Linked DNA regions of Neurospora crassa OR74A. The protein of the gene in region 2 interacts with the protein of the main gene of each other region in a pairwise test. Links are inferred from orthologs where the notes say so. Each region holds a gene or a part of one and is shown on either strand. Other genes may lie near its edges.

Evidence for each region.
Region 1: the proteins of NCU04293 (region 2) and NCU03319 interact in binary tests that used the Saccharomyces cerevisiae proteins (3 or more experiments, as listed by UniProt). The link is inferred for Neurospora crassa OR74A from reciprocal best matches to the Saccharomyces cerevisiae genes ERV41 and ERV29.
Region 3: the proteins of NCU04293 (region 2) and NCU04404 interact in binary tests that used the Saccharomyces cerevisiae proteins (3 or more experiments, as listed by UniProt). The link is inferred for Neurospora crassa OR74A from reciprocal best matches to the Saccharomyces cerevisiae genes ERV41 and SEC26.

The regions. Positions count from the first base shown.
Region 1 is NC_026501.1:5,293,310-5,300,245, reverse strand, and holds NCU03319 (COPII-coated vesicle protein SurF4/Erv29), read right to left. Parts: upstream 3,475-6,936; 5' UTR 3,060-3,474; coding exon 2,896-3,059; intron 2,819-2,895; coding exon 2,706-2,818; intron 2,626-2,705; coding exon 2,132-2,625; intron 2,060-2,131; coding exon 1,922-2,059; 3' UTR 1,545-1,921; downstream 1-1,544. Other genes in the region: ada-4 (all development altered-4), read left to right, coding at 1-564; NCU03318 (hypothetical protein), read right to left, coding at 6,091-6,274, 6,341-6,936. UniProt on the Saccharomyces cerevisiae protein: Constituent of COPII-coated endoplasmic reticulum-derived transport vesicles. Required for efficient transport of a subset of secretory proteins to the Golgi. The C-terminal di-lysine motif is required for exit from the endoplasmic reticulum.
Region 2 is NC_026505.1:5,524,049-5,530,945, forward strand, and holds NCU04293 (COPII-coated vesicle protein), read right to left. Parts: upstream 3,622-6,897; 5' UTR 3,010-3,621; coding exon 2,925-3,009; intron 2,833-2,924; coding exon 2,242-2,832; intron 2,146-2,241; coding exon 1,682-2,145; 3' UTR 1,492-1,681; downstream 1-1,491. Other genes in the region: NCU04292 (branched-chain-amino-acid aminotransferase), read left to right, coding at 1-353, 422-589; SAD-2, read left to right, coding at 5,718-6,088, 6,167-6,897. UniProt on the Saccharomyces cerevisiae protein: Constituent of COPII-coated endoplasmic reticulum-derived transport vesicles. Required for efficient transport of a subset of secretory proteins to the Golgi. The C-terminal Ile-Leu motif is required for exit from the endoplasmic reticulum.
Region 3 is NC_026504.1:3,470,033-3,477,368, forward strand, and holds NCU04404 (coatomer beta subunit), read left to right. Parts: upstream 1-2,722; 5' UTR 2,723-3,160; coding exon 3,161-3,462; intron 3,463-3,527; coding exon 3,528-5,950; intron 5,951-6,018; coding exon 6,019-6,167; 3' UTR 6,168-6,522; downstream 6,523-7,336. Other genes in the region: NCU04405 (mago nashi protein), read right to left, coding at 1,560-1,700, 1,763-1,850, 1,913-1,976, 2,036-2,131, 2,215-2,252, 2,320-2,357. UniProt on the Saccharomyces cerevisiae protein: The coatomer is a cytosolic protein complex that binds to dilysine motifs and reversibly associates with Golgi non-clathrin-coated vesicles, which further mediate biosynthetic protein transport from the ER, via the Golgi up to the trans Golgi network.

The DNA.
Region 1 (6,936 bases), on a different chromosome or scaffold from region 2:
ATTGCAACTTCCTGGAAGCGATGCGAGGACATGGTCGCCCTTCTCGCCCAGCCGCTGCCCCCCGCAACCTGGCGCCTGATAGCCCGCGCCATGCTCAAGCTGGATGTGTACGGACAGGGCGGGGCGGCAGGGACAGCGAGTCAGAGGCCGGTGATTAGCTTGGGTGATGATGATGGTGGTTGTATGATTGGTAGCCGGGACAAGAGTAAGGGCAATGGCCTTCAAGAAGAGCCGTGCGAGAAGGTAGAGCATATCGGACTCAAAGATATCTTTGCGAGGTTGGAGGAGAGGTCGAGGAGACGACAGGAGAGGTTGGAGGCATTGGTGGCGAGTGGGGAGTTGGAGGGGGTGATTCCACCGATTTCCGGGGGTCTGGATGTCGGGAATGCTAGAGAGAGGTCGACGTCGCCGATTGCGTCGACGGGGATAACTACGACGCTGGCGGCGGCGGGCGAGGCGGATGAGAAGATGGAAGGAAAGGTGGACGGAGAGAAGACGAGGTCACCAGGTATGAGGATCATTGCATCTGCGAAGAGTGCGATGGACAGGTTGTTGATTTCCTGATCTTTTTTCCGTTTTTCTGCAATATTTTGTTTTTCACCTTCTGGGCGTTGTTAAGGGCTTAGGAGGGAGGGTACGGAGTTGAACGCCCACATAAGCGGAAGCTTCATTGTTCTCTGTTGCTTTGGTATGGCATGACAGTTATGTTACGTTCCAAGCGTGGAGTTCTGAGGTTTCCTGGTTTACTACTAGGTATTATTTGGGTGTATGGACATGGGGATGGTATAAATGACCCCCCCTTTTTTTTGTCGTCACGTTGGGTTGCGATTGGGAAGAAAGGTGAGCCTGGCTTCTAACAATGAAAATTTCTGATTGTTCACTAACGTGAATCTGTTGGTTCGAACGGTTTTGGTATGATACAATGTAGTATCTAGTGGCCATTATTACCTAGCTATTAGCAACTATCGCCATGAGCTTAGCTTTTTTTTTCTTTTTTTTTTTTTTTCTTTTTTTTTTTTTTTTTCCCAAATAACGAGAAATTTTAAATATATGTATAATATATATCATGATAATACTTAGACACACTTTTTGCACGTTTTCCACTGAGATTGGCCGGACAGGCGGGTTTGTATGAATCAAATTGTTGCGTACAGTACCTGTCACTTGCGATGAAAGGCTATGACATAACAGCAAGATGTCTTGGGGCAAGCTTGAACTATTTGAACTCGATTCTTTCAGGGATGCATTGATCCATGAATCCATGAAGTGCCTCGCAATTTTGGAAAGACTACTGGAAGTCGAATTGCGTGTTACGTGAAGGCCAATTCAGAAGTGTAGCGAATCCGACGTGTTCGGTCTGTATGGCCACGCGAGTAACACGAATGGAACTAACCTAGGCGAATTGTACTATCCTCGAAAGTATCGTATATGATCGTATCGAAGAAACGTAGTCCTGATTTGAGTGAGATCTGAAGCGAAATCTCGGTCCACTATCGATTCGATGGAAAATCTCAACAACTACGAAGAACATTTCTTTTCATCTTAGGACTATTTCGAGCATTGCAACAAACGCCTTGTTTTCAAGATTTCCACTATGAGCACCGTCATACAGATAGAGACAGCCAAAAGGATTATACGCCGCTAATGATCAAAATTATACCACATCACATAACCCATTCCTGACTTTCTCCTAGGTACCCGTGACGTATTTTCAACTCCCAAATGAGATTCAAATCACCCTCCACATAGCATTGACCGGCGTGGCGGGCCATACCCATCATGTCTCCATTTGCTCGTTTCGCTTCCAAACCCATGTAGACAACACCCTTGCTTGGCTCTGATTGCCGAGCTCGAATCAGCAAGGGATTCTCATGTACCCCTACGCAAATCCTTCTCCCCTTCACCTCGTCTTTCGGACCCCTTAGTAAACCTTCTTCTTCTCGTCAATGCTGAACTGGCCCGGGCCAGTGTTGGTGAGGAGCAAGAGACCTCCGACGATGGAGAGAATCTGGAAGAAGTCATACTTGGCGAAGTCCTTGTGAGGATGATGCTCGTGAAGCTAGAATGGCACACAGTTAGCAGCGGTTCGATTTAAAACAGAGCTGTCTCCGTTAGAAGAGAAATCACTTACAGTCCAGAAGTTGTTCACCAGAAGGTTGAAAATGCTCAGAATGACAACCAAAAGAGTAGAGCTGAACTTGGTCTTGAAGCCGACAACAACCATAACGCAAGCAACAAGGCCTACGAGTGAGACAATGATACGCCAGATGGTCCACTCTCCGCTGAAGACGAAGCCAATGAAGAGGAAGATGAGGAGGACACGGCCAGCAAGCTGGAAGTACATCTTGCGGTCCTTCTCCTCAAGCGTGGGGAGACCGGCAAAGGCCTTGGTCTTGCGCACCCATGAATCCGAGAGCACCATAAGCAGACCGCCCATAACAGAGAGATTGCGGAGGAAGAAGTTGAGGTCGAAGATGAGTCCGTAACCGAGCGCCTGGGTGATGACAACGCCGATGAGACCGCCGACGGCATACTCAGAGTACTTGCGGATGATGACGAGGGTGGAGCAGGAGGCCATAGCAATAACGTTGACGAGAAGGAAGAGGTGCGTGACGCCATTGGGAACTGTAGGATATCCATGGTTAGTAAATGCTTGGCTAGCTGTGCGCAAGGTGCAGACTAATGGACCCTCGAAGGGCACGTACTATGGCGGTAGTCGTGAAGATACAGCAGCTGGTCGTTCCACTGGGTCATGATTCTGAGCGCATCCTCGATGAAGGTTACGACAATCAAGAAGCGGCCAATGGCGGGGAGGTATCTGTATACACCACCGTTCGGTCAGCAGCAACACCCTAACGTGCAGTAGAAGACATCCCTCGACCAGGGCTGACATACGGCTTGATGGGCTCGCTAAAAGAATCCAGGACGTCCTCAATCTTGCTCGTCTGCTTCCGAATTGCGTCGAGAGGGCTGGACTCGGTCGAGTCTTCGTTGACGGGTCCTCCGAAAGGGCTCGAGGCACCAATGCCATAGCTGCCGGGTCCCCGCATTTGCGCCATTGCGTGAGGTGCGATCGCGTCTGGTCTGGTTGATCAACTGAGTATGGCGTCGGAAATCGAGACGTTGTCAAGCACAGGTGTTGCTCCTGGATCGCGAAACCAGGTTGATGTTGTTTTGTGGAGGGATGAGCGCCGAGAAATGGGAGTGATGACGGAGGGTTCCAGCTCAGGGTGACTCCAGAGAGCAATAATAAATGCGGGACCGAGCTTGTACAAGTTCAGGTTGAGAGTGGAAGATGGGCCCTCGTTTCGATTCAGGCGCAGCAGCTTTCGGATTGAGACCTGGTGGTGAAGGGTCAAGGTCCGACTGACAGCTGAAGAGGTGGAAGATGCAATTGAAGGCAAGGTGGATTTGAAGATGGAAGTGCTCCGGTGGTGAGGTCAGTCAGGTACCTAGGTTATTAACATACAACTGTGTCCTTAACCAAATGTCTTTCCGTGATTTCCTGCAAGTGCCTCATCGAGAAGCTGCCAAGGTGATGGGAGCCTATGTTACAAAGTACATACACTGCAGTAGAAGCCACGCCTTCAAATAAAGTATCCTCAAACGGAAATACACACAGCGGGCAACTGTGGGTCCCATACTCTTGGCCGACGGGTCAACCTTCCGGTGTTTCGAATTGCCCTGCCTGCTGGAGTGCCCGAGCATCCAAGGTCACCCAGCTGGACTGGCCTGTTGCGAGCGAGCGCACGAACCAACCGTTGTTTTTGGCACGGGAAGAATGGAGCCTCGGAAGCGATGGATCGCCAAAGACCCCACGCTGCGACTGGGTTTAGCTTTCTCGAATCTCGACTGTTTGGATAGTGCGATCTGATCCGAATTTCCCCCTTTTGGAGACGAGGAATAGCTTCAAGATCGAAAAAAAGGGAGCCTCATCGTCGTGTCTGACACTTCTCCTAACTCCTATTCACCTCGATCTCGACATTCAGTAAACATGCTACCGCAACCCCGCTGCAAAAAAGTCAAAACTGCGCAAGGGTCCTCCTCAATGCAACAGCCCGATCAGACTACACTACGAATCAGGAAGCTCTTCAGGCTCTTTTTTCACAGCCGAGCGACGATGCTGACAAGGTCGAGTATAACAGACAAGTGCAGGGGTCAATGCCTTCTCAGCTTCCATTACGGGCCGGCAAGGTAGTTCTCCGATCCACACATGCGTCCGCTAGGCCCGGTTCGGTGAGGAACGGGACTCGGTAGTTTGTCTTGTCGTGTCCACCGCATGGGAAGCATGCTCGACTCCAAAGGCACAACCTTAATTTGTCCCATTGCCGCAATCCGGCATGACGGCGACGTCGGCATCGAGTTGGGGGTCCAGGACTTGAGGACTAATTACGGCGATGGCGAGAGGTCCCGCTGGATTCCTTCTCACGTTGATTTACCATTTCATTGGAATATCTACTCCCTTTATCGGGCTCAGTTCATGGTACTTATAGACGAAGACATCTTGAAGATTTGAAAGACTTTAAGCCAGACCTTCACTTCGATGGCCTTCGGTGTTCTGAAGCGCTCAAGCTAAATCACTTGCAGCGAAGTTCTGACAGACTTACAACCCATCAACATTCAAAAGGTAAACCCTCTAGCATCGCCAGTCGCGTATTCTCGAATCCCTATCCCCTGCCGAACCAGAGTCTATCACTACTCAGACAACCACACTTATCAGGAAAAGACACCCACTCATACTCCAGGAAAAACCTGCACGCACCCCAAGCACCAGATCTGTACGGACTTGTTTCAGTCACACCTTCATCATGTGTTTTAGAACTGGTATCAAATAAACTAGTCTAGTAGGTTGAGTCCTGTCAATTAAAGTTGTCTAGCGTTTTTGAAGGTCGTAACGTGGCTGTGTGTGATTTTGGTTGCAAGGACCAGCGCCATGAATGTGATTACGAGATTCAACGGTCAGTTCAAGGGAAAATAGGCGCGGAAGGAAAAAAAAAAAGAAAAAAAAAGAAAGAAAGAAAGAAAGAAAGAAGGAGAAGAAGAAGAAGAAAATAGGAGAAAGGTAATGCTAGATACTAAGACCACGTGCGTGCTTATCGCCACATTTCATATCAATCCGACCGTTGTGGCTGAAAGTCATCGAGTATACTTCTCCAACTTGGGGTGCGCGTAAGCAAACCTTGGAGTGCGCGTAGCATCTCTCATCAACGATACCTACCTTACCACATTCACCCTTAAGCGTGTCAAGAAGGGCAAGAAATGTTGTTTTTTGAATTGTCTCAATTAAGCTTAAACTCTCCTCAAACTCCTCGGCCAAAAGGCCTATCAGCTGGCTAACCACAAGGGAGCGGGTCAAAAGAAGAAGCGGGAAGCATGGAAATCGAACAAAGACATACTCACGCCCCCTAGACTCTCTCTCTCTCCCTATAGCCCTGGGGCCTGCAGAAGAAAACCTGTTCAGAAGTTTGCCTCCTACTGACCGGTTCTCCGTTACTAGGCCCCATGGAACGTGAGGAAACAAAGGGATGGGGAACAAACGGGACAAGCATGAGGACGGGACAGGGCCCATTTCTTTGTGTGGTAGATTCCCTGACGGACCGATTCCCTGAATTTGGTGAACCGTTTCTGAGTTTGGTGTGGCTAAACCTTTGTTGGTCTAGATGGTGGTGTGCGCAGGGTCGGAGGGGTACCGTACGGTTTTGACTTGAATTAAGTGAGGCGTTGACTTGGGTTTGGAAGTTGGGTAAGTCATCTGTACGTAGGTATGTGAGGATGTAAGTCTCGAGGAGGAAACTCAATTGCCGTGATGTATGGTCGCGAAGGCTCTGATAGTAATTAAAACGACAATATCGAGCAAGTGTCCTTGATTCAGCTTGGGATACCAGAAACTAGGCAATCTAAAACATTGACAGATTTCCACTCAATAGCAGCCGGATTTGTTTTCAGAACGCTACCATCACGTAATTTGAGTTTGAGTGACACATGGCATAGGTTTGCCTATTGTCGCTCCCATTAATTCTCTCTGTGCCATTTATAGTCCTTCATTCGTTAAGCAACTGCCGGTTGACAGCCGCAAATTCAGATTACCACTCATCGCTTCTGAAACTGATTCTCCTCACCAACTGTCCAACCCTGTTTGGCACCTTCGTTGCTCCCGCTCTCATATTGCGGAGGAGGCGATCCCGGCATCGTCGACGGAGGCCTGACTGAGGTGCCGTCTCCGCTTGGAAGCTCAACCGGAGCTTGATAATTAACATCACGCGAGTGAGGAACCCTTGAAGCATGAATGAATCTTGGTTAATTACCTTTCAATTCTCATCTGTGGAAACATAAAACTTACGAGCTCAGTTCTCCAATCATGAGAGGCGAGTTGGGCCCGGGTACAGGCGCGCTCCCAGGCGCGGACATTGCGTGTCCGTTATAAGTATTGTAACCATAAACAGATCCCGGGGAGCCAGGGTTTTGCTGTGGTGGGGGAGTTCCATATGGGTATGGAGGCTGCTGAGGGCTCGCCGTCATGCTTCGATACGGGTCACTGGGGTCCATGTGTGGATAAGTCGAAAAGGTCGTGAAGCTGGCTTGGCCGGGACTCTTCAGGCCTGCCGGTGTCTGGACAGGGCTGGCTGGATTGTGTTGGTTGTGGTACTGTGCCTCTACCATGGTCGGAGCACCAGCGGCATCGGTACCGGGTGCCGGCGGATGAATGGCGCTCTTGCGATAGGCCTTTTGAAACCCTCCCCTTCGACCGCAGAAAAAGACTAAGGCAGCGGCAATGGCTACCACGGCGGCCGCGCCGATAGCGATTCCCGCGATGGCCCCGGCACTAAGGCCCGACTTTTTGCTTCCATCTTCTTTTCCATAGTTTGGATCTTCAGCCTTCCATGTCTCTCCCGGCTTTAGATCGTATGTCACTTGTTCTGCGTACTTCCGTTGAGC
Region 2 (6,897 bases):
TCGGTGCTAACTACGGTCCTTCCCTCCTCGCTACCAACGAGGCCAGGGCCCGCGGCTTCCACCAGATCCTCTGGCTCTACGGCAAGGAGGCTTACTGCACTGAGGCTGGTGCTTCCAACTTCTTCATCGTCTGGCGCGCCAAGGAGTCCGAGGGTGGCAAGCTCCAGCTCCTGACTGCTCCTCTTGACGATAAGCTCATCCTTGACGGTGTCACCCGCCGTTCCGTCCTCGAGCTCGCCAAGGCCCGCCTTGCTGGCGAGGTCGAGGTTGTCGAGCGCCGCTACACCATCGATGAGGTCATCGAGGCTGACAAGGAGGGCCGCATTGTTGAGGCTTTCGCCGCCGGTACTGCCGTATGTTACTGTTTCCCCCCCATAGCTCATCTTTCCGCCCAAGCACGTACTAACTTTGCCGTTTACAGTTCTTCATCGCCCCTGTCTCCCAGATCCACCACCGTGGCACCGACGTCCACATCCCTCTCGGCGAGAACGACTCCGGCGTCTATACCACCAAGATCAAGTCCTGGATGAAGGACATCATGTACGGCAACGAGCAGCACGAGTGGGGTGTCGTCATCAACGAGGAGTAAGCCTGCCCAATACACCCACATAGCGATCTGATACCCCCCCTTTGGACCATCGACTCTAGCGAGCGAGGGATCTTCCAACTCCGGCCCCCCCTTACTGGATTTCTGGATTCTCTTTTTTTTGTCGCTGTGCAATGTCTCTTGTCATTTGATTGTTTTTGGAAACCAAGCGTTTGCTTTGCAAAAGAGTTGGGAAAAGGACAAGGATTATTCACACGACACTTGATATAAACAGGGATGAGGCTGTCGCTGGCCAAAAGAGGAAGAGAGAGCAGAATGAGGAGGCAAAGCGCGAGTAAACCTCGCTCGCTCCTTTTGCCTTTCATCGACCACTACAAAGAAGGACGACCGCCTATCTAGAGTGGAGGTGTAGAGAACTGAACAACAACAAAAAACAAAACGTACGGATGATGGTACCCGGTATGCATAGCATTCGCATATGCGAGTGCATGGAGCCATACGCCAAAGAGGATAAATTTTGCATTTCAAGTGCTTTCCAAAGAAGCGAAAGCAAAATTAAAAACATCAAAAGCATGCAGGGAAGAAAAAGAGCGGCACATTTGGGCGTTTTGGGTTTTCGACATATTCCCTGGAGGGGATGATAAGAGTAGAGAGATTTCTTCGTCTTTTTTTATAGAAGCGTCTGTATACCCGGAAGAGCGAATAAAGTTAACAAAGATTAACTCTGTTCCGTTTATGAAATATGTGTGGTGCAAGGACCTTTGATATGCAACACGGCTGGGAAGGTAGGACAGGCAGTTAATCTACTACTTCCTTATCTACCTGTCTACCACCGGTTAAATAGACATGAGGTCGTTTTAAGGCTCAGTCAAACCTTACCAAACCTTAGCAGTACTACTAACAGCGGCAATCACAGCATCGCTTCCAGGTTACACAGACATGGACATAAGACGAAATAACGGAACGTGTAAATATAGACGCTACCAACGCTGTGAAAACCTGAAAATTCTGTAGATCTTTCCAACTCAATCTCGACGTCTCACCCAATTTCTTCTACATCCGTCTATCTTTCTCTCTTTCACACTCTACCTGTCCTCCACAACCACCACATTTTGGTTTTTCTCCCACCTACAACTAATCATCACGCTCATGTCCCTTCCCACCCAACATACCCTCACTCGGCCCTCCGGCCCTCCTCCTCCTCTTCCCCCACACCTCCTGACACCAATCACTAATCCTGTACCCCCAATGACCCGCCACCAGCGCACCACTAATGACATTGACGACCTTGATGATAAAAACCAGGAAAGAATCCCGTTCCTCGTCGATGTGCAGCAGAATCGGCTCAATGTCGTACTTGACAAAGATGCCCGGGATGATGCGCTCCGTGACTTCCTGCGACTGCTCCGTGACGGCGTACTGGTTCGTGACGATGGATTTGCCTGACGACGAGTAGACGGTGGGGACGACAGAAATAAAATACTGGAACTTGTGGAAGTTGGCCGAGGCGATGTTGACGGTTTGGTCGAGCGGGTTGACGAGGGAGGGGAGAAAGGGGCCGAAGGAGAGCTCGGAGATGATGTGGGAGAAGTTGAATGCTGTTTTTTGTTGTTGTTAGTAGCTGTTGTTGTGGAAAATAGAGTTGGATGGTTGAAGTTTCGGCAAAGGTAAGAGAAAGAGAAAAGAAAACAAACCAGAATGATCCAAATGCTGGCCAAACTCCATATATCCATGTCCTTTGGCCGTAATATGAAAGTCGCCCTGGACCTTGTTCAACTCCAGACTGCCAAACACCCTACAGCTGTCCGGCGTCGCCCCCCACAACCGCGGCGTCCTCGCCCACTTGGCCTTCCGCCTGCCCAAAGAAACAATATCATGCACGTGCTCCTCCCCAAACCCTTCGTCATGCCCCTGCCCCTGCATGTACCCCTCGCCCGTAACCACCTTGCCCTGGGCGTCCCGTCCCAGCTTGTGAATCCCCTTGTTGTCGACCCAGTGCTGCCACACCGTCGGGTCGCGATGCAGCCGGGAGGCAGCCAGGATGCGGTCGCCGGCCGCGTCTTGCACGTTGATGTGGATGTCTTGGCACTTCATTTTGACGACAATGTCGAGGTTGATGTCGAGGGCGTGGGAGACGCCCTTTTCGACGGCAAAGGTGTGCGATTCCGAGCCGCGCCACCAGCGGGAGGCTTCGGACCAGAAGAGGATGAAGGAGATGAGGCCGACGAAGACGGTCCATTTGCCGCCGGCGGTGGTGCGGGTTACGTATTGGGGTTTGGATTTGGCTGTGTAGTAGTAGGTAGGACTTTCATGTTAGTTTATTTGAAGATGTATGAAAGCGCATTGGATGTGGGAGGGAGGGGAGGGAGGGACGTACGGAAAGCGTCAAAGGCGCTGACTATGCTCCCCTTGGCGCCAAAGGCGTCTTCGTCTAGTTGACGCTTCTCGTCGTAGCCGTTCATCTTTATGCGTGTATGTGTTTGTGTATCGTAACCGGAGTTGCGAAAAGGTAAATATGTCTGGTTTCGTATGTTGGATGCGATTCAGCACTGCAATCCGTGCCGGTGTTGTTGGTCCCCCTTCTTCCTCTGCCACTTGTCAGGGCGGCGGCGGCAACCCAAGCTGTCGGTTGGTGGTGACAGTGACCACTGTTTTCCGTTTTGAATTTCTTTTCGATTCCAATCTACAGCGGATTTCTGATCCTGAGCTACCGCATTGGTGTTTTTTTCGAAAAGCACTTTGTCGTCGAGACCCGATGGTGTAGTTCCGGAAGGACACAGCCGGCTACTGCTGCAGGTAGCTCTTGTCCTTTGGGGGAAATTGCGAATGCGCCCACTCAGCTAATTCGTCATCCGGTTCGCGAGGATTGGCTCGGTTCGTTGGACTAAACAAATCCACTCAGTCCCTGCTGTGGAAAGAAAGAGGATGAAGATTCAAGCTATGTACTAGTACACCAAACACTGAAGAAAGCAGAAGCAAGTTCTATGGAAAAAGGGTGGTGATCCTGGCGGCTGAAAGACACCGGGCGTTCGTTCCCTTGCATGGATGAGGTGCCATTCGGAGGACATTCATCGATGAGGACAAGTGGACGTTGGTCCCCGCGAAACGATCCGCCGTGGCTTGGCGTTTGGCCGTAGATCCCTGTGTGCCTGACAGGGGCCTGTTACGGGAACTACGCTGGAATTAGCTCGAGCATGCGCATGGCTGGCGGGAACCCGTTTGCCATACTTAACCCTGACCCTGACAGGCCTGCCTTGCTTTACCCCTGAATCGTCGTCAACAACATCACTCCGTTACCGTTACATGACATTTCGTCTGGTGTTAGTAACAACTTCTTCGCCGGCATTTGACGAGAATTCAGGATATTTTCTGAGGGTTCCTACGTGCCTGATTACAGGTCCAATTCTCTAGACCCTTTGTTTTGTCCAGTTGTCTTTCTTTGAATTTCCGAGCATATATCACGGTGCTGGTTACGATCTCTATGTATCTTTACGTGCTCTCAACGACTCCTATCACGGCAGTAATCCGTTTTCAAACCCGTCTCCCTTTTTGAATGTTATGACTCCGTAACTGTCCGTCCTTCTCGTGTACCTCATAGCATTGTTGGCCGTTCAAGGCTTGGTCTCTGATGTATTGGCTTTGTGTCCATGTTGTTCAAGGGAGTCCGGACTTTATGGATACGAGGTGTAGGCGTGGTGTGTTTGTACAACACTCCCATGGAAATCTAATTGGTTTAAATCTCTTGGTTAACATATCCAAGCGCTTCTGTACCTATCCAGTTAGCCCCCCATTTTGATGAAGATGACCTAGCCGTACTTTCAGTGTGCTATCTTGGATACCCGTGATGATTCTGATGAATGTTTACATATCGAAAATATGTTAGGCATGTTTAAGGTTGTTGGAACGGCTGTCTTTGAGGACATGTATCAATCCAACAAAGAAACAAGTCCTGGACTGTATCCGCAACCTGTAAAAGTCGTCACGTTAGAACAAAAAGGATAGTAGTCAGATGGAGAGCTTCGTATTGTGTTACACTTGATGTATCCTATGTAAGATGCCATACATTTTGACCTGTTAATTTTTCAGTTCCCTCTATTCGCTTGGAGAAGCACCATTTCAGGTAATTTCATCCATTATTGTTCGCGATAACAAACAATAATCAAAAACGGACGGGCAGACCGCCGCGCGGTCAACCACTTTCTTAAATCGTTGCTACTGAATGATGGAGAGTTTATCGTTGGCAGATACGGTACTGCTCATTGCCATCGATGCCATAGAACCCAATGGGATAATGCCCAGGAAACTCCTCAGGCCCATTGTCATATCCACAAACATCTTTATTGCACCTGCCCAACATCTCGTTGACTGAATCCTGACATTCTTTTGACGGGAGGTTCTGGCCTTTCTCGTCTCCTGAATGGATTCAAAAAGATAGCTGGAGGCAACTTTCTTTGACATCCCGCTATCAATGCAGCGCGCTCACCAGGTCCCTTCCTCTCCTCGAACAAATATCAACCTTCATCCCTCCTGCAGCTCTATCTGGAAGTTACCTCCCCACCAGCCATCGAAGCACTCCCGCTCAGCTGGGAACCCGGCATCTTCCCGCCTTCAGCTCCGTAACTCCTACGACAAGCAGTACCTGCCAAGAAGGTTTCCCCGCCGTACCTAAAGGTACCTCTTGCTCTACTTACCTTTCCAACCCGCGGAAGGGCTCCGTGAGTACTTTCTCATCCCCCACTCACGCAAGCAAACATACTCTCGAGGGGAAGGTACGACGTACCTGGACCCGCTCACTCCACTACCTTCCCCGTCCTTCCTACCTCCCTTCACCCAAGGTTTGTGTCAGATTTTCTTTCTCGGAAATTTGCCAATCATCAGGTCACGCTTCTCTCTCCTTCCATCGGTGTCATGACTCTCTCCCACGAAGCCAGTACCTAAAACTAGCAATTTCTTTTTCGCTCTGTCTCAGCTGGCTCGCCGTCGAATAGTCACCATCCGGTAGCATACCCAACAGCGTACACTCTACACACTTCCAAGGCTGGACGCGTCCAGAGCACACGTACTATACTCGGTGCGTATATTAACAGAAGCGCACACCTTTCTGCGTCACTAACAACTGATGACTAGCATTGCGCTATCCAGTCCAGGCGGTTCTAGTCGCGGATCCAACATGACGGACCGCGACAAGAATGGCCAATCGGCCGCCGACGAAGAGGAGCAGAAGAGAAAAGCCATTCTGGCAAAGGCCATGATGGATGACCTCGGCACTGCTCGCGTCGAAAACCTTCCGTTGGAGGATGTTGACCTCCCTCCTCGTCATGGTCGTCATGATGGCCGGGGACACTCTGGTCTTACTATGCCTCGACCTGCTCCCGCTGTGTCTGATATCTGGGCAGAGGCCCAACGACAGGGCGTTTTCAACGATGATGACGCTATTGCTGTGCGAGAACTTGATGATCTTGGAGGCGGAAGAATCTATGCCACCCGCCAGCAGGAAGTCAGCGCTTTGGCTAGCCGCCTCGTTCGTGGCGTCAGAGATCAGTACGTATTGATCCATTCTGAACACTGCATGCATGCTTGTGTTTTGTGTTGAATTTTCGACTGACCTTGCCATGATAGTGCTCAAAAAGTATTGAACCCCGAGCTGGACAGCCGCCTTGCTAAACAATACCATGGCCGCGGACGCGAGATACCCCCAAGCAGAAAAATCAACATTAGCAAAGACATGAAAACATCCACTCTCGGTGTCCTTTACCATGCATCTCAGCCGGTCAGGCAATTCCCCCCAAACTACCGCCCATCTCCTACATCACCCCATCCATTGGCTACCACAAAGCCCCTTCAACAAGTCCCTTCTAGTCAAGGACTTTCGTCTTCCCGGGTTCCAGTTGCGTCTTGTGCATCTTCTACTCCGCCTATCAAAGAAACCTGTCGAGCTACTTCGGTCCAGTCAACTCGCCACGCAACTATCAGTCAAGGACCCCGTCATCCACCTGTCAACCAGGCTCAAACACAGCCTGGCCTAGCTACCGCGTCAACTGATTTACGCCAAAGCTCCGCGAGGATCCGACAACCGTCTACGTCCACCACTCAAGGCCCAGCAAGTCAGCAACTCCTGTTTTTGGGCAATGAACATATTGTTCCCCCTTCAGGGAATGAATCTTCTCCACTTTCGCCGGAGCTGCCTAACGTTCTCTTCAAATGCGAAGTTGACTTTCCTAATCCAACACGTCTGCCTGACAGAACGCTTGTACCCTCCATGGTTTATCTTTCTGCGGCCGGAAAACCACATATGGGGTTCTTTACACTGACTTGCGAAGGCAAGCAAGTCTGCCGATCGCCTATCTCTC
Region 3 (7,336 bases), on a different chromosome or scaffold from region 2:
GAAGCGCTGGCAAATTGGCGGCAGTTGATTTCCACTTGCGTTCGCTGCTGTTGCGAATTCATTGGCTCGATCACCACCAGAAAACTGAAAACCCAAGAACCTCGGGGTTTCGAACTCCCAAAGGAGGAAAATGTCCAAGTAGCAATATGATGTCCAAGAAAAAATATGTGCTGCGATGCGAAACCAGGCGGCAGGTGACAAGCGGGAAGAGAAATTGCTGGACACCTAGGTAGTTTGTTGGTAGGTGTGGTAGCAATGAGATGCAGCTAGGTTATAATATTCGCGGGAAAGCAAAGACGAGGGCAAGGGAATGACGATTTTCTGGGTCGAGTGATGGCGTTCTGCCGTCAACAGTCAAGTTGTATCTGTCTAGTAGCAAAACTCCACGGACTCATGCCCGCCTTGTTGGTGGGCACTCCAATGGCCCCGGGTCCGCTCCCATTTTCCACTTTCAACCTTAATTGATGAGGGTGGGTAGGTGGGTGGGCGGTTGATGGGCAGACAAAGATGAAAACTAGCTGGCGGTATCGGCCTCCCGCCTCCATCTTGGGTCGCTCGCTTGCGATTGTACCTCTCGGGGCCAAAACAACACACACACAGGTACAGCATGCGATGCAGTTGCCACCCGCGCACGCCGTGCTGCCAAGCGGGTTGATGTTGACTTCCACTTTGCAGTGCGGGATTGGGAGAAGCGCTGCCGAGCCAAAGCATGCAGTTTGGCGGTGTCGACGGAAGCTTCAGGGGTTCGATAGAGCTTATCGCGGTGGAGATCCTTCACGTCAGTAGCCCCACCGAGGTAACTTCCACTTCCATCTCGAGTGACCCTTCCCGATCCGTCGCACATGCCAGGAACGTCGACGACGAAGGGCTCCAGGATGGACCGAGTTTCACGAAGCATTTTGTACTACTTGGATTTACCATAAACTGAAGCCATTTCGCATTGGATGTGTCTCGGAAGGAAAGTCTACCCCGCGTTACTCGTCAAGCGAAAAGTTACACAGCATAACCGGTCTACCGCCAATAAGAGCCAAAAGTCGGAGAGTTGGATCGATTAACTTCTTACTTTGACATGTGCGGACCTTGTTACTGCTTTAAAGTTGGTAGCCCAACCTTTTGTCACTTGATCAATCGTGATTCAAGACCAGCCATGGCAGGTCTCTCTTCACATAGAGGTACGAATCGAATTTGTTGTACGAATCGTACAGCGGCATGCTTTTGGTGTGCTTCGTAATGAGATGTCGGTGTTCCATCACTCGGTCTCCGCCTGGCAACTGCATCGGATATCTTGCCTCACACTGCTTGGTTGGTCATCATCAATAGCTGACACAAACAGCCATGACGACTCTTAGGTTCGGGGGCCAGTGGGGCGATTGGTCGATAATGTATACGATTGTGCCAGTCCCGAAGTTATCCATGTTAAATCCAGTTTCAAGAAACCCATCTGCGCCGCCAATAGATAGAAAAGAACGCCTTTATAAAACGCCGCATTATCCCACAAAATCTCTCCTTTCCATGAGTAAGGATATATCAAACTCGGGGTATTCGTTCGTGTCGGAAGATTAAATGGGCTTGATCTTGAAGTGCAAGGCAATGAGACTGAACACCAGCGCCTTGAGGTCCTGAACGAGGTAGTAGAAGACGCGCAAGCCTTCTGGGTCGGCCGAGTCCGTAACATCGTTGATCGATCCGATCTTGGCAGTCTATTTCCTGTATTAGCTCTGAACATTTTGCAGAAATAGATTCCGACACTGGCAAGACGCACCTCGAATGAAATGTGGTCGTTCCCGAGGCGGATCTCCAACTCCTGCTTTCCGTCTTTGTTTTTGGTCGGCCATTTCTCGTCGTCTTCCCTGTTGGCCTGTCAGCAGCCGCTCCATGTTGTTTGTATAAAAGGGTGAACATGATGTCGTACTTCATAATCTCGCTGTCCTTGATGATGCGCTTGATCTCGTCAATGACCAGAGAGCTGACGCACACTAAAAGAGACCCTCGTCAGTATATGGATGTCCACGGCCGGCTAAACAGTGTTTCCTACTCTCTTTCCTGATCAGACTGTCGTTACGGTAGTTGGAGTTGTTGGCATATCGGGCAGTGGCGCTACGTCCGTCGCCGAGGACGCGAAAGTCGAACTCTGTAGTCAAAGGGCGGTAGTTTAGCATCGTGGTCGTGGAAACGTGGGAGCTTGCGTCTCGAGGCGCAAATGGCTGAACACACCTAGGAACTCGTGGCCGAAGCGGCCCGAGTGGCCAGAGCTAAGCCGGCTGTTAGCATGGTGTTTTCAATGTGTGAGTGAATCGAATCCCGTAGGGGTGTACATACTAGTAGCGCAGATAGAAGGGTTCGTTGGCGGCTGACATGGCTGTTTGTTGCTTCTGTCAGTAGTAGGCTTTGCAAGACAAGAGGCAGAGATGCAGCCAGCGGCTTGGTTCCTGTCGCTTTTGGATGGACAACCTTGAAAGTCGCGCCCGCGCGGCCACGCTCCAGTGACATTGGCGGGGCACACGGCCCCACACTTGACCCCAGCTTGGCCCAGGGGCATTGTTTGGGCTCCAAGCTGACTCCGGGTTCACGAGCCTTCCTGACAGCTGGCAATCCGTATCTACACGTGATCCTTCGACTGTTTGGACAAGCTGGCAGATGGCAGACTCGGCCAGGAGATGGAGGCTTGGTGAGGCCGTAAGGGTGTCGGGGGGTCCGTGCTTCGCCGTGTGCTGTTGCGGCCGGCCAGAATGCCACATCTCCCAGGGGCCGTCTCTCGATAGAATTGACCGTCCTATCCACGCTGGCTCTTCCAGACTTCAACAACAAGCACAGGTGATGCTCCGCTCTCTCACCTCGCCGGCGCACTCCAGACAACCCTTTCATTGCGCAGCCGTCTCTTGATTTTCGGCCAACCACGACCCTGTCAGTCCAGGGGGAGGAAACCACATCCAGCACCAAGGCCAGCTCATCGTCACTCTTCAGGAGCTCGAGGCAGCCACTCAGTCCATCCATTTACTAGCACCACGCAACCTACAACGGGGCAAACAACACCTTACCACACCCGCCCCTCTCTAATTTCGATCCGCGACTCCTCTTCAGGACGCCCGGCCAGCTACTTTCTACCAAATTCAATCTCAACTTTAATCAAAGACGGCCCGGCCGCCGCCAGCTCTCCAACATGTCGTTCCTCGAAAATGCCTACAGCTTGGTCAAGGACAATGCCGTCGACGGCACCCCAACCGTGCAGGAGCTCAAGACGCAGCTCGAAAAGGGCACCGACGAGACCAAGATCGAGACCATGAAGCGCATTCTTACCATCATGCTCAATGGCGATCCCATGCCCCAATTGCTCATGCACATTATCCGATTCGTAATGCCTTCTAAATCCAAGCCCCTGAAGAAGCTTCTATACTTCTACTATGAGATCTGCCCCAAGCTTGATGCCCAAGGGAAGCTCAAGCAGGAGTTCATCCTAGTATGGTAAGGCATTCCGTGTCCGTCTGGGCATGCTGGCCCCTCCAAGCTGACCAGCCATTGCCTCGCAGTAACGGCATCCGAAACGACTTGCAACACCCGAACGAGTACATCCGAGGCAACACGCTGCGCTTCCTGTGCAAGCTGCGGGAGGCCGAACTTCTCGAGCCTTTGCTCTCCTCAGCCCGGGGCTGTCTCGAACATCGCCATGCCTATGTCCGAAAGAACGCCGTCTTTGCTGTCGCTTCCATTTACCAGCACTCCCCGTCGCTTATTCCCGATGCTGCGGACTTGATCTCCACGTTCCTCGAAGGCGAAAGCGACCCAACCTGCAAGCGGAATGGCTTCGCCGCCCTTGCCAGCATCGACCACGACAAGGCTCTTCTCTATCTCAGCACCGTCTTTGACGGTATTCCCAACGCAGATGAGCTTTTGCAGTTGGCCGAGTTGGAGTTCATCAGGAAAGATGCTGTTGTCAACACCCAGAACAAGGCGCGCTACCTCCGTCTTATTTTTGACCTTTTGGAAGCTAGTGCCTCGACCGTTATCTACGAAGCGGCCTCGTCGTTGACGGCCCTCACCAACAACCCTGTCGCTGTCAAGGCTGCTGCCAGCAAGTTCATTGAGCTTGCGATCAAGGAGGCGGATAACAATGTCAAGCTTATCGTTCTGGACCGTGTCGATCAACTCCGCCAAAAGAACCCCGGCGTCCTGGACGACCTGACCATGGAGGTGTTGCGCGTTCTCTCTAGCACGGATATCGATGTGCGGAGGAAGGGTCTCGAGATCGCTTTGGAGATGGTCTCCAGCAAGAACGTGGAGGAAGTCGTGCTTTTGCTCAAGAAGGAGCTGTCCAAGACGGTTGACCAGGAGTACGAGAAGAACAACGAGTACCGCCAGCTTCTTATCCACTCCATCCATCAATGCGCTATCAAGTTCTCCGAAGTCGCCGCTAGCGTCGTCGGCTTGCTCATGGACTTTATTGCCGATTTCAACAACAACTCCGCCGTTGATGTTATTAACTTTGTCAAGGAGGTCGTCGAGAAGTTCCCTCAGCTCAGGCCAGCAATCATTGCGAGACTGGTAGATACCCTGAGTGAAGTCCGCGCTGGTAAGATCTACCGCGGTATTCTCTGGATTATCGGCGAGTACTCGCTTGAGGAGAAGGATATCAGGGACGCATGGAAGAGAATTCGGGCAAGCCTGGGTGAGATCCCGATCTTGGCATCCGAGCAACGGTTGCTGGATAATGTTGATGGTGATGCCGAGGAGAAGGAGAAGGAGCAGGTCAATGGCTCAAGGGCAGCGCCGACTGGCTCACGCAAGGTCCTTGCTGACGGCACATACGCTACCGAGACTGCCCTTACCAGCCAGTCTACAGCTGCTGCACGCCTGGAGGCTGTCAAGGCTTCGTCGAAGCCCCCTCTCAGGCAACTTATCCTTGACGGCGATTACTACCTTGCCACTGTTCTCGCATCGACCCTTACCAAGCTTGTCATGCGTCATGCCGAGATCTCCTCGGAAGAGGCTCGCACGAACGCCCTCCGCGCTGAGGCTATGCTCATCATGATCTCCGTCATTCGTGTTGGTCAGTCGCAGTTCGTCAAGGCCCCTATTGATGAAGATTCGGTGGATCGTATCATGAGCTGTGTGCGCTCCCTTGCCGAGTTCACCGCGCACAAGGAGTTGGAGACCGTTTATCTCGAGGATACCAGGAAGGCGTTCAGGGCGATGGTCCAGGTTGAGGAGAAGAAGCGCGCAGCAAAAGAGGCCCACCAAAAGGCAAAGACGGCCACCCAGGTGGACGATGTTTATCAAATCCGCCAGCTTTCCAAGAAGAATGCCACTGATGGGGCTGATGCTTTCGATGCCGATCTCGAGCGTGCCACTGGTGGAGACAACAGCTCGGCTGAGGACCTATCTGGCAAGCTTAGCCGCGTTGTCCAGCTCACCGGTTTCTCCGACCCTGTTTATGCTGAGGCCTATGTCAAGGTCCACCAGTTCGACATTGTACTAGACGTACTACTCGTCAACCAAACAACTGAGACCCTCCAGAACCTTACCGTCGAGTTCGCAACTCTCGGTGACCTCAAGGTTGTGGAGAAGCCGACAAGCCAGAATCTGGGACCCCACGACTTCCACAACGTTCAGTGCACCATCAAGGTCTCCTCCACAGATACTGGTGTCATCTTTGGCAACGTCGTGTATGAGGGTGCTCACTCCACTGATACCCACGTGGTCATCCTGAACGACTTGCACGTCGACATCATGGATTACATCCAACCGGCAACTTGCACTGAGACCCAGTTCCGCACCATGTGGACCGAGTTTGAGTGGGAGAACAAGGTCAACATCAACAGCAAGGCGAAGAGCCTACGTGAGTTCCTGGACCTGCTTATGGCGTCCACAAATATGAACTGCTTGACACCAGAGGCCAGTCTTAAGGGTGATTGCCAGTTCTTGAGCGCCAACCTTTACGCAAGAAGCGTTTTCGGTAAGTTTTCTCGTCATTCGCATAGCACTTTCGGAAATAGCATCGCTAACTTCCCTTCTCTTATTCAGGCGAGGACGCTCTAGCAAACTTGAGCATCGAAAAGGAAGGTGAAGACGGACCCATTACTGGTTTCTTGAGGATACGCAGCAGATCGCAAGGGTTGGCCCTCAGTCTTGGCTCCCTCAAGGCATTGAACAAGATTGGTTCTGCCGCTTGAACAGATTTTCTCTCCGGCTAGATGAGATGAAAAAGATGATGTATGGGGTGATTGGGAGGGTTGTATAGCGATTAATTCATCACTTGATATTCTTTTCACCGTTGTGGTTTGTTTCAGTTGTTGTTATCATAGTCTTTGTTACATTTCCACTAGTTGATGCTTGTGAGAGATTCGGATGAGACTCATGTCACTCTCTTTTGTATGCTTCGATTAATGGCTGAAATGTAAAGGGTTTTCGACATATAGTGTGATGGATGAGGAAGACAAAAGCAGAGGATGAACCCAGAAGCAGGATGAATTATCCAGATGGAAAAATCAGATATAGACACAAAATCAATCCTTGACAGAAAACCAGCCAGGTGTGATTAATGCCATCCTCAGTCATCAGTCAGTGGATCTCTTAGACAAGCTCAAACAGACACGCGCATTATTCTCATTCATATATAGTCACCCATAACTTCGTCCACCATCCCTTCCATCACTCATTTCCTCCTTCCACTGCGGTCTCTTATCCATTCCTTTCTCCACGGCATGATTATGCCATACGACCCTTCCCCCACCCAGAGCACAAACTTGGGTACAAAAGTAAAGATTAAACAGTAGTAAAAGTAAAAAGTAGAAAGTAATTGCTCGGCGATATGCTGTCTGCCTAATTGCACATTATGAAAAAAAAAAAAAAAAAAAAAATTATTGGTACGTAGGTAGGCGAAGAAAGGAAAAGGGGTATAAGTAAGGTATCGTATGCGGTGTATGACGTGGATTTTGTTTCCGCCATTAACCATGACATATGAAAAAAGTAAGTCTTTGAAGATGTCCTCCCAGGTGTCTTGTTAATGAAACAAAATAGGGAAATGGTATCATATTCGTTCTTAAAAGGAAGGTTGAAGTGATGAATAGGTATTATCAAATGTGATATGATGTAGACGGGGTGGTGCCCGGAACGCGACCCTTCTCGTTGAAACGGGGCCGGTTTATTTGTGTGGTTGAAGGGTGTCGTGATATTAAGGTATAGATAGGCAGGTAGGTATTCTTGTTGAAATGTTGGGATGACTCGGCGCTCATGGATTGGTCGGTGCTGTCGCCGTTGCGCTCTTCGGCGCCGGCGCCGTGTTTTGGGGTTGGTTATCTTGGAATGTGAGGAGCGAGGAAGGACCAGCCAGATAGATGCC